Linked DNA regions of Mus musculus. The protein of the gene in region 3 interacts with the protein of the main gene of each other region in a pairwise test. Links are inferred from orthologs where the notes say so. Each region holds a gene or a part of one and is shown on either strand. Other genes may lie near its edges.

Region 1 (3,250 bases), on a different chromosome or scaffold from region 3:
TGACAGCTCTCAGCTGTCTATACCTCCAGCCCTATGGATTCTGACACTCTCTTCTGGCTACTGTGGGCACTTGACACATGTATGGTGCAGAGACATGCAGGCAGACAAAACACCTACCTATACACATAAAAATAAATAGAAGAGCGGGCTTAATGGTACTTGTCTGTAACTCCAATGCTCCCGTGTATATGTGTGTGATGTGTGTGTGTGTGTGTGTGTGTGCGCGCGCGCGTGCAAGGGGATCTAGAATACTTTACAATGAGTTCCTGAAATTTCTGTAAGAGACCATGTCTCAAAAAGAAGGGCTCAAGAAATATCTCAAGGGTTCAGAGCATATACCACTCTTGGAGAAGACTCAAGCTCAGTTTCCAGCTAACAACTGCCTAAAGTCAAGCTCCAATAGTATCTGATGCTTCTGATATTCACAAACACACATTCACAAGCGCACATACACACACACACGAACACACTCCTACTCACACACTCTCTTATACACACACTCACACTAAAATATTTTAATAAGAAAGTAGAGACAAGACATGCTCAGGCCTAATCCCAGCCTAAAGCAGCAGGGTTTGTTTTGTTGTGTGTCTGAGCTCCACTTGAGCTACATGAATACCAGGTCAATTAGGCATATATAGCAAGGCCTGTTTCGGGGTGGGGGGGTTGGGGGTGGGGGGAAGGGGATTCAAGCATGGTAGCACATTCCTGTAATCCCAGCACTCCAGAGGGAGGAGAAGGATGGCCACAAATGTGAGCCAGCCTGGTCTACAAAACAAGCTTCAGGGTCAGTCCAACACACTGTGATTCTACCCAACACTCCCAGTTTCTCCCAAAAGCAAGCAAGCAAGCAAGCAAGCAAGCAAGCAAGCAAACAAAAAAGCCACAGTTAGAAAGAGGTTAACCAGGCTGGGCACAAAGGTCCTACAACTATGAAAACAGAATTGACATTCAAAGCCCTAAGACAAAACCCTCTGAGGTAGGGCTGGAGAACCTCAGGTGCCCTGCCCTGCCCTGGCAAAAAGTGGCAACAAAATAAAAAGACCCCCACACCTGGGTCAGGAGAGCAGTATTATCCTTAAGGGAACTGGCCATCATCTGCTGGGTGGTATCCAAGTGTGTCAGGAGCTGACCAAACTGCATAGCTGCAGAAGTGAAGAGAGCATGGCTAAGAACAGAATCCATGATGAGAGGGGACCACAGGCCCTCCCTCAGCCCAGGGCTCTGCCTGCCGCACACCTTGCTCATGCAGCTGCTTGATGGTGACAAGTCGCTGTACCAGTTCAGGGAGGGTGGAGGCGACTGGGCTCCAGCGCTGGATGGTCTCATAGAGCTGGTGCACCTGGTAAAGTGGGCAGGGCCGAGGGGATGCTAACACCACAGCTGGCAGAGGGAAGGCGCTCCCTTCACTCTCAGCTGGTTAAGACCCAAGGCTGCAAAGCCCCTACATTTGGATGTTACCACTCAGGGGAGGAGCCTGGGGGAGCACGGCAGGTACAGAGATGGAGAAGACAGCTCCTGACCTTGTTCTGAGTGTCTGCGTCCTCCACGGATGCCTTGTGCTTAGCAATCTCATTCACCTTTCCCAGGACACTCTGAAAGCACAGGGGTTAAGGGTGACAGGGCTCCCAGACCTGGGCTTCTAAAGTCCCAAGCTACTTGGAATCCAACTAGCTTTCTACTTAATACCTGAAGCCGAGCCTCTACTTGGTCCAGAACTGCAAGGTCCAGGGCACTCACTTTGGCTTGCAACAGTTCTACCGTTTCCTAGTCAAGGAAGGGTTTGGACAAGTGTCACCAGGAGAAGAATCAAATTATAAAAAAGGTCTGCAACATTTCACTGGAATTAATCTAGGGCTATAAACCCACTCATTATCATAATTAAGACATTCCCATTGACCCCTGTAATCCACATGCCAGCTCCTTCCAGACTCACCATAAGGCAGGCTCCCTGTAGACCTGCAGAAAGGGGATTCTGGTGGGAAATGGAGGGAAGAAGTCAGGAGTCTTCATACAGCCATAGGATGACTCCTGGTTCTAGCTGTAACCCCCTAGCTTCCAGATTGTGGGAACACTGTGAACTACGGGATCATTACTCAGGGCTCTGAGTACTGTAGACTTAGTACAGGAGAGCACCTGACCTGAGCATCCTGGTCACATCGGACAGTGGCCTCCAGCTCTGTCAGACGCTTCTCGAGTTCTGCAACCTATGGGGGAGGAGGAGGGGCAAGAGGAGGAGGCGATTCTTTGTCACCCTCCAACCCCTGCAAGGGCTCCCTTCTTGGACCACATCCCTAGCTACAATCTTAAACTTAAGTTTAAAGTAGATGGACAGCTTGGGAGGTACAGAGGCAGGAGGATCTGGAGTTCAGAGCCAGCCTAAGCCACATCCTTGAGTTTAAAGCTAGTGTTGAGACCCTACCTCAAAAACCAGAAATGCAAGGAAATACAGCGAGTAAGACTTCAGGAGGAGTCCGAAGCTCTCCCAGGACTCAAAAGCTTTCCCTCCTAGGCCTGGCCCTGCAAAGGCCACTCGCACCTCCCTCCCTGGCTCCCAGCCTACACTACCTGACTTTTCCCTAGCTCCCAACCTATGCTACACTCATACTTACTTTGGCAGCTTGAGAGAACTTGTCCTGCTCAGGCCGTGAGTGGAGTTCATAGGTGACCAGGCTGCTGTCTGGGGGGGCCCCAGCTGTAGCCTTACCCCCTGAACTGCCTTTGCTGCTCTTAGTTGCTTCCAGCTGCAGCAGTAAGCGCCTGGGGCACAAGAACAAGTGATAATATCCAGACCCAAAAGATGAGGGCTATTTGAATCTTCTGCCTCATAATTCTCATTAGAGAATGGCTAACCATCTCCCTCCTGTCCTGCACAGTCCCACTCAGCAGTGGCTCTGCCGCGGCTGAGGGCACTCACTTAGCTAGGGCTCCGTCTGGGTCGGCAAGGTTGATTGCAGCATCTGGTCCCAGAAGCTTCTCCAGGTGGGAAGCCACCAGCTGCTGCTTCAGGGCAGCCAGCTGCTTAGCCAGCACCACAGGGGTGAGCTTCTCCTCGGTGGCTGACTCCTTCACTGTCGTCTGATGGAGGAGTCCGTAAGACAGGATGGAAGTGAGAAAAAAAAAAGCAACCTCGGAGAAAGCCATGGCCAGGCTGTTTTATTTACTTTATGTATCTGCATGTATGCAGTGTGTATACCACATGCATGAAGTGTGTGTACCACATGCATGCAATGTGTGTGCCACATGCATG
Region 2 (3,554 bases), on a different chromosome or scaffold from region 3:
AACTGGCCTTGCTACCCCTTCCACTAAGGGCCTCAGCAGCACATTCTTCCTGCTCCGCGTGGCTCCCTTGACCCATCTTACTGTTTCTTCCTTTAGCCCCTTTTCATGATTGGGCTCGTTTCCCTTTGCTCTCTTCCCAGGCTTCTGAGATTAGACCCTGGTATGAGCCCGTCCTGTCCTCAAAAGTCCAGTTGGGCCTTGCATGCCCCAACTGTTCTGCGTAAGACTGACTGTCTGTTTCTGGGTCCTGAGTTCTTGCTCTCCCTAACTCTCGGGCCTTTTGATTCCAAAAGAGCAACCTGCAAGGAGGCTTCTGGACCAAACTCCAGGAAGGAGCCCAGCAATTCTCCAAGCGCCATCATGCGTGTCTGTTTCTAGAAAGACAGGTTCACTGACACAGACCCAGACAGACAGGCTGACCAGAACTCCAAAGTCCTGTCTGGGCCTCCACATGTCACCTTCCAGAGCACCCGAGGGAGGTGCACACACGGTAACCCAAGGCTCTCTGCCCACTCCAAGCCCTCAAAGGGCTTCACGACCTCCTGGGTTACAGAAAACAGAAAAACAAGCAAACAATCTTAGTTCCTATGGTGAACCTAAAACCCTATACTTCTGGGCATCCCTTCCATTCCCTCAAGGAGATCTCTAGAATCTTTGGAATACCAGACTTCCTCATGACGTGACATATCCCTTCATTGTGTGCAATTGGACATATGGAGGTTCCCTTTGCATTTACAGACATTACCCCACACTCAGCCCATCCCCAGATCCATGTTCTCAGGCCCCAAAATTCTCTTTTGTGAGACACCCAGAAAAGGACCTCGAAGTCATCCCCTCCCCAGGGTCTCAGTGACCCGGAGCCCAGAACCCTGCGACCCCTCCAGGTTGCGCCTCCGGATCCGGACCACCGCCCCTCCCCCAAGCCTCCATTTCACAAGGCCTCGCGCTCCAGTCCCGTGACTTCATCTCATGGGACTGGGTGGGTGGGGAGCGAGGTTCCCCTCAGCTCCGGATTGGTCAAGTATACTTTTCCGTCTCCGCCTCACGCCACCGCCGATTGGTTAGTCTCGGGCCTGGGGCACCCCTCCCTCCGGAGGGTCAACATGCTATAAAAGGAGCGCTCCTTGCCCGGGACTTAGAGCAGCGCCTTGGAGGTCCCGTGGATCTGTGTCTTGCTTCAACAGTGTTTGAACGGAACAGACCCGGGGATTCCCACTGTACTCGCTTCCAGCCGCCTTTACAAGTCTCTCCAGTCGCAGCCTCCGGGACCATCTCCTCGCTGCCTTCAGCTCCTAGGACCAGTCTGCACCGTCTCTTCGCGGTTAGCTCCTACTCCGGATCAGCCATGACCTCTCAGATTCGTCAGAATTATTCCACCGAGGTGGAAGCTGCCGTGAACCGCCTGGTCAACTTGCACCTGCGGGCCTCCTACACCTACCTCTCTCTGGTGAGCAGCTCGGGGTTGCCTTCTGAACGGGGGGGGGGGGGGGGGGTCCATCACACCCACCCTCCTGCGCATGCGCGGGCCTTCTTTGTTCCATGCAGGGCAGAGACTGTGCTCCGACCTCTCCCTCTCCCTGCGCGCTGTGTACATAGTAGTTTTGTCTGACTGGAACTCGCTGGGCAGACCGGGCTGCCCTCGAAATCTCACACGTACTGCCTCTACCTCTTGAGTGTTGCGATTGAAGTTTACAGTGTGAGCCGAGCCACCGCGTTCCGTTAACTCGTATTTGTAACCTCCCGCAGGGCTTCTTTTTTGATCGGGATGACGTGGCTCTGGAGGGCGTAGGCCACTTCTTCCGCGAATTGGCCGAGGAGAAGCGCGAGGGCGCGGAGCGTCTCCTCGAGTTTCAGAACGATCGCGGGGGCCGTGCACTCTTCCAGGATGTGCAGGTAAGAAGCGGGGGTATTGGGCACTACCGAGCATGTGCGTTTACTTGCCATCCCCATAGTTTGGGCATCCGGATAGACGTCTTGGAAGGGAGTGGTGGCAGGACTAGTGTAGACAATAGGAGTATGTAGAGCAACTAAACCCACCAGGATGTCAGAAACTGGAAAATGGGGGTAATTACAGAATACAGATGAGGACTGCTGGGCTGGGGAGAGGCGGTGTCTCTCTAGCTAGCATGGAAATCACAATGTAGACCAGGTTGCCTCCTATCAAGAGATCCTCCTGTCTTCTCGCCCAGTCTCTCAGTGGTGGGATTAAAGACAGTATCCCATTATTTTTCCCCACTGTGCCCACTTTTCCTGTGCAGTCAGTTTTATATTGGCTGGGTGAAGGATGTAATCTAGGCTTGATATTCTTGTGTGCAGAAGCCATCTCAAGATGAATGGGGTAAAACCCAGGAGGCCATGGAAGCTGCCTTGGCCATGGAGAAGAACCTGAATCAGGCCCTCTTGGATCTGCATGCCCTGGGTTCTGCCCGCGCGGACCCTCATGTAAGTACCTTGCTAATCATTTCTTCCCTTCTCTGACAAAACCTAGACTGTTGTGTGTTGGCTTTCAGCTCCCAATAATTTAATCCTCCTGCCTCCCGAGTGCAGATTGCAGAAGCACCACACACAGTACTGAGGACACACCTACCTACCTACCTACCTGCCCTTGAGGGCAGGATTTTTTTTTTTTAAAGCTTCCTGCTCACACCTGTCTCTTAGAACTCGGTGTCTGATGTCTCTTCCTTCCTTTACAGCTCTGTGACTTCCTGGAAAGCCACTATCTGGATAAGGAGGTGAAACTCATCAAGAAGATGGGCAACCATCTGACCAACCTCCGCAGGGTGGCGGGGCCACAACCAGCGCAGACTGGCGCGCCCCAGGGGTCTCTGGGCGAGTATCTCTTTGAGCGCCTCACTCTCAAGCACGACTAGGAGGCCTCTGTACCTTCCAAGGGGCTCCCCCCTCTGCTCTGCACCAGCCCGCCCTGGGACCTCCACCTGAATGAACCTCTCAAGCCACTAGGCAGCTTTGTAACCGCCCTGGAGCCTCTGTCAAGTCTTGGACCAAGTAAAAATAAAGCTTTTTGAGACAGCAGCTGGTGTTTTTTCTATATATGTGGGAGGGGTGCACGAGAAAGAAGAGGTTGGCTGTATGTACTCCTGTTTTTTGTGGGAACCCACATGTGATAACTTACAGCGATCTCTGTGTGGTAGTATCTGCCTTTTCATGTGGCAAATCCAGGTCGTAGGAGTCTGTAGCCTGTAGCAGTTTGCCAGTCCTTGGTTTATGTTACTGTGCAGGGAAGTGAAAAGGCTTAAACATCCAAGTTCAGAAATGAGTTAAACATACAAGTAGAAGGCCAGGAGGTGAGCAAGCTGAGCCCTGGGTGCTGGCTGAGCGAGGGTGGGGAGCCAGGGTGTCTTGCTGGATTCCGAACTAGATGCTGGGCCCATCAAAAAGAGGATGTGAAACTTGGGACCATTGCCCAAATGGGAACTAAACCATTGCAAAGGGGTTAGAAACATGGGAAGTTGGTGGGGTGGGGGGTGGAACACCGGACAATACTGCTGTGTCAGCTCACACTGGTTAAAACAAGTCCAAGGGTCGTATGAAGC
Region 3 (3,651 bases):
GTCTCAAAACAAACAAACAAGAAAAAAAATGTCATCAAAAGCCTGTGGGTGTTTTCTTAATTAGTGGTAGATGGCAGAGGACCCAGCCCATAGTGAGTGGTGTCATCCCTGGGTTGGTGGTCGTGGGTTCTGTAAGAAAGTAGGCTGACCAACTATGGAGAACAAGCAAGTAAGCAGTACTCCTCTATGGCCTCTGCATCAGCTCCTGACTCCAGGTTCTGGCCCTGTTAAGTTCCTATCCTGACTTTCTTCAATGATGGTGTTAAGCCAAATAAGCTCTTTCTTCCCCAACTTGCTTTTTGGTCATAGTGTTATATCATAGCAACAGAAACCCTAACTAAGACACAAATCTAACTTTCTGACAAGCAGAGCTGAGGATTTCCTGGACTCAACGGATTATTGCCTACCGAGCTCATCATGAAGTCATTCATATCTTCAGCAGGGATACGGTTGACCAGCTCTGCACCTTCCAGCAGTGCAGAATCTGATCTGGTCCAACACTGGGATCTGACAAGCTGGAGGTACCAGTCCTGAGAAGAAAAGAAAATTGAATGGGACTGGGTAGGCACTTCGGCTTCTCTGGGCTGTGATAGAAGCACCGACGGCTGGCTGTACAGACATCAGACACATCTTGGGCTTACACTCTCTAGACAGCTAGTCTTCCCTCTCTTGTTCTGTGCTTGAATGCCCTCTTCTTTTCCACCTGTGGACCTTCCAGCAGTCCTTGCAAACTCAGCCAAGTTCTCAGTGTTCACAATTTTTGCTCTACCTGCACTCTAGATGATGCACCATCTATACTATACTGGAGTATCTGCCTCCCTCATCTTTCCCAGCAGCCAAAGCCAAAGAAATGCCTCCCACAAAGCTGGAGAGTGAGCCTGGGGCAAATGTGTGTTTTCTGTCATGGGCTGCAGGCTTCTAAAATCTCATCTCCTTGCCTAAAAGGCAAAGGCCCTAACAGTTTCTAATTCTCAAGTGTGAATGAGAAAGGGTACAGATGACAATACATTATATAGCTGGTGGCAGTAGGTGCATCAATTTATAGGAGATAGAAGGTTCAGAGGGGGAGGCAGGCCAAGTTTTGTCAGCATGTGCTGGACAATGTCTGCAGTCATAGGTCCTGGACCACAACCAACTTTTCCTGACTTGCTGACTAGCCACCTGACTTGCCCCCACAGTCCTCCACAAAAGCCTCACATCAGCACTCCTGTTCTCAGTAGGACCTCTTGGCCTCCATCCTGCACTCTAATCCCAAGCAGGGCATCTAATGACCTGAGCTGAGTGTCAGGTCCCATGTATACTGACAGCCACCACTATCCTCATTGTAGACAGAGGCTGTCATTGTCTCCACAGGGTTCCTGGTCATCACACTTAGACATTCGGGACACTTACTTTGTCTGGACTCACTGTTTCCAGAGATGTGTGCCCATCCCCATCCAGTGGGTGGGAAGTGACTGGGGGCAAGGGGCTAAGTGAGTCCTGCACAGTAGAGAGTCGGAATCTGTCCAGCAGTGAATAGAGCCTTTGGTGTCTGGAATAAAAAAGCCAGAGTAGTTTGTTCTTTGGTTTGAAATCTCAGTTTTTGCACAGATGAGTTCTAGAAACATGTAATACCAAGGAGCACTAGGAGCTTCTTAAGACAGGGCAACAGGTTTTGGACTTTCCCTTCAACATTCTAAAGTCATGATGCACATTTACGCCCTAGTTACTTTAAATTACCAAAATTTATACCTCACTGATATTTTCCAGAAGTTTCATTTATGCTCAACATTCCATTAGGCAATGAACTATATAACCGCTAACAAAGCTATTCTATTCTACTCTTTCTTTTCTTGGCAATATTAGAGATTGAACCTAGGGACTTGTGCACACTAGACAAGTGCTTTACCACTGAATTACATAATCCTAGCCATCGTATTTGTAATGTGTGCAAAACAGATAAATTTTAAGATCCAAGTGCACAAACTCCATTTAATCCCCAATAATGACACAATTCATTCCATTAGAAATGGTCATTTCACAGAAAACCATTTCATCTGGCCTAAATTATTTATGAAGTCATAATCTTCCTTATCTTGGTCTATGACTACAACTACTGTCAAACACAATGATAATTTATTCTCTTACTATACAGAGTCAATGTGATACTTCATATGTCAAATGATCAAATGTCAGCATCATGTGGCTCTGCAGATTGAGAAAAATCATCCAGACCATGCCCTGTCCCATTATGAAACACCATGAAAAATCCTCTGAAGATTAAAGTTATGAGAGACCCTCTCGAATGCTCCCTTCCCCCTTCAGCAATGGAAAAGAGGTGAAAGCTTTTCTTAATTTATCTTGTAGTCAAGGAACTACACTTACACTACAGATGGAAATGTTTCTAATAAAGGCTTCTAAAAGACTTTCAAACAATTAGGCAAAAGAATAGCTATGAAGAGATGTCACTTAACATAATGTGCACATGCCAAGAGCCAGGTAGTGCTCTCATGTTTACTCCCTCCAACCTGGCAATTAGGTTCTAGCTTTATTCCCACTCAGTCAGGGTCCAGTAGCAGAGGTAACAAACATACTTCTTATCCCTTCAACAGTCACAAAGTTCAGGAGTCCCTTCTCTGTGCAACAGGTATTTGAGTGCCACTTCTTCATGTCTACTAAAGTGAGACATGACTAAATTTCATCTGATATTTAGATAGTCTTTTCTACTCTGGCATTGCTGTAGTAAACTCACTGTACACTAATTCCTTTGTCTACCTATTTGTTCCTGAACATATCTATGTGTTAATACGCTGGTTGCCCAAGTGCCAGGACCCCACGCTGCAGTCTTACCTTTGTGCAAGCCCACTGTTCTGGAGGTGTTCTTGGATTCTGTTTAGTTCCTCCTCTGGCAACTGGGCCATGCTGCTCTACACAGACAAGAACACATCAGGGCTTTTGTGATATACAACCTCACACCCACTTAAAAAGGATAAATTACTATACACAGTATATCTAAAAAGAGCCGTTGGTCAGATACACAAATAACAAATATGACATACATGCTCTTTATCAGTGGCCAATCAAGACCAGGTCAATAGACCAAATGTTTTGATTGACTTTCTAAGTTTTGATATAAATTACCATTTTCAGTACCTGTAAATTTGCAGCCAAAAGCATTTCTACCCGGCGACAGGCCAGGGTGTCGACCATGCGAGCCAGCGCACGGAAGGGGGTGCCCAGGAGCCTGTCCACATATAGTGTGAGCACAGCACCAGACTGGCTGAGATGGATGCCTTCCAAGCACTGAAGTGTTTTCTTCAGAGTGGTTGGCTAATGTTGAGAAGGAACGAAATTTATTATTCCTCAGACTGATAACTAGTACTGACAAAATCCCAGTATCCCATTTTTAAGTTGGAGAAAGCAAACTGGCAGGCTAAAGACTTACCGTTGAAAGATTTTCACAGCGAGACTGAATTGCCTGGATAAAAAGACCACTAGCTGCAGAATTACGATGAATGGCACTAATAAAGTCTTGTACTGGAGGCTCATGAGACAAGCTGATCAGATCTTGAATGTGATTCACAATGAGCCATGTTAAGTGTTCTGAGTCATGGAGATTCTGACACTAGAAAGATATAATAAAAGATATATTTCAAGTGGACAAGAAGGCTA

The links.
Region 1: the proteins of Htt (region 3) and Dctn2 interact in binary tests that used the Homo sapiens proteins (3 or more experiments, as listed by UniProt). The link is inferred for Mus musculus from reciprocal best matches to the Homo sapiens genes HTT and DCTN2.
Region 2: the proteins of Htt (region 3) and Ftl1 interact in binary tests that used the Homo sapiens proteins (3 or more experiments, as listed by UniProt). The link is inferred for Mus musculus from reciprocal best matches to the Homo sapiens genes HTT and FTL.

Annotation. Positions count from the first base shown.
Region 1 is NC_000076.6:127,276,212-127,279,461, reverse strand, and holds part of Dctn2 (dynactin subunit 2), read right to left. Parts: intron 3,079-3,250; coding exon 2,918-3,078; intron 2,761-2,917; coding exon 2,613-2,760; intron 2,208-2,612; coding exon 2,142-2,207; intron 1,976-2,141; coding exon 1,937-1,975; intron 1,768-1,936; coding exon 1,690-1,767; intron 1,596-1,689; coding exon 1,524-1,595; intron 1,343-1,523; coding exon 1,240-1,342; intron 1,146-1,239; coding exon 1,054-1,145; intron 1-1,053. UniProt on the Homo sapiens protein: Part of the dynactin complex that activates the molecular motor dynein for ultra-processive transport along microtubules. In the dynactin soulder domain, binds the ACTR1A filament and acts as a molecular ruler to determine the length.
Region 2 is NC_000073.6:45,457,423-45,460,976, reverse strand, and holds Ftl1 (ferritin light chain 1), read left to right. Parts: upstream 1-1,090; 5' UTR 1,091-1,345; coding exon 1,346-1,447; intron 1,448-1,746; coding exon 1,747-1,893; intron 1,894-2,316; coding exon 2,317-2,442; intron 2,443-2,693; coding exon 2,694-2,870; 3' UTR 2,871-3,033; downstream 3,034-3,554.
Region 3 is NC_000071.6:34,876,683-34,880,333, reverse strand, and holds part of Htt (huntingtin), read right to left. Parts: intron 3,605-3,651; coding exon 3,425-3,604; intron 3,310-3,424; coding exon 3,133-3,309; intron 2,907-3,132; coding exon 2,830-2,906; intron 1,532-2,829; coding exon 1,393-1,531; intron 531-1,392; coding exon 408-530; intron 1-407.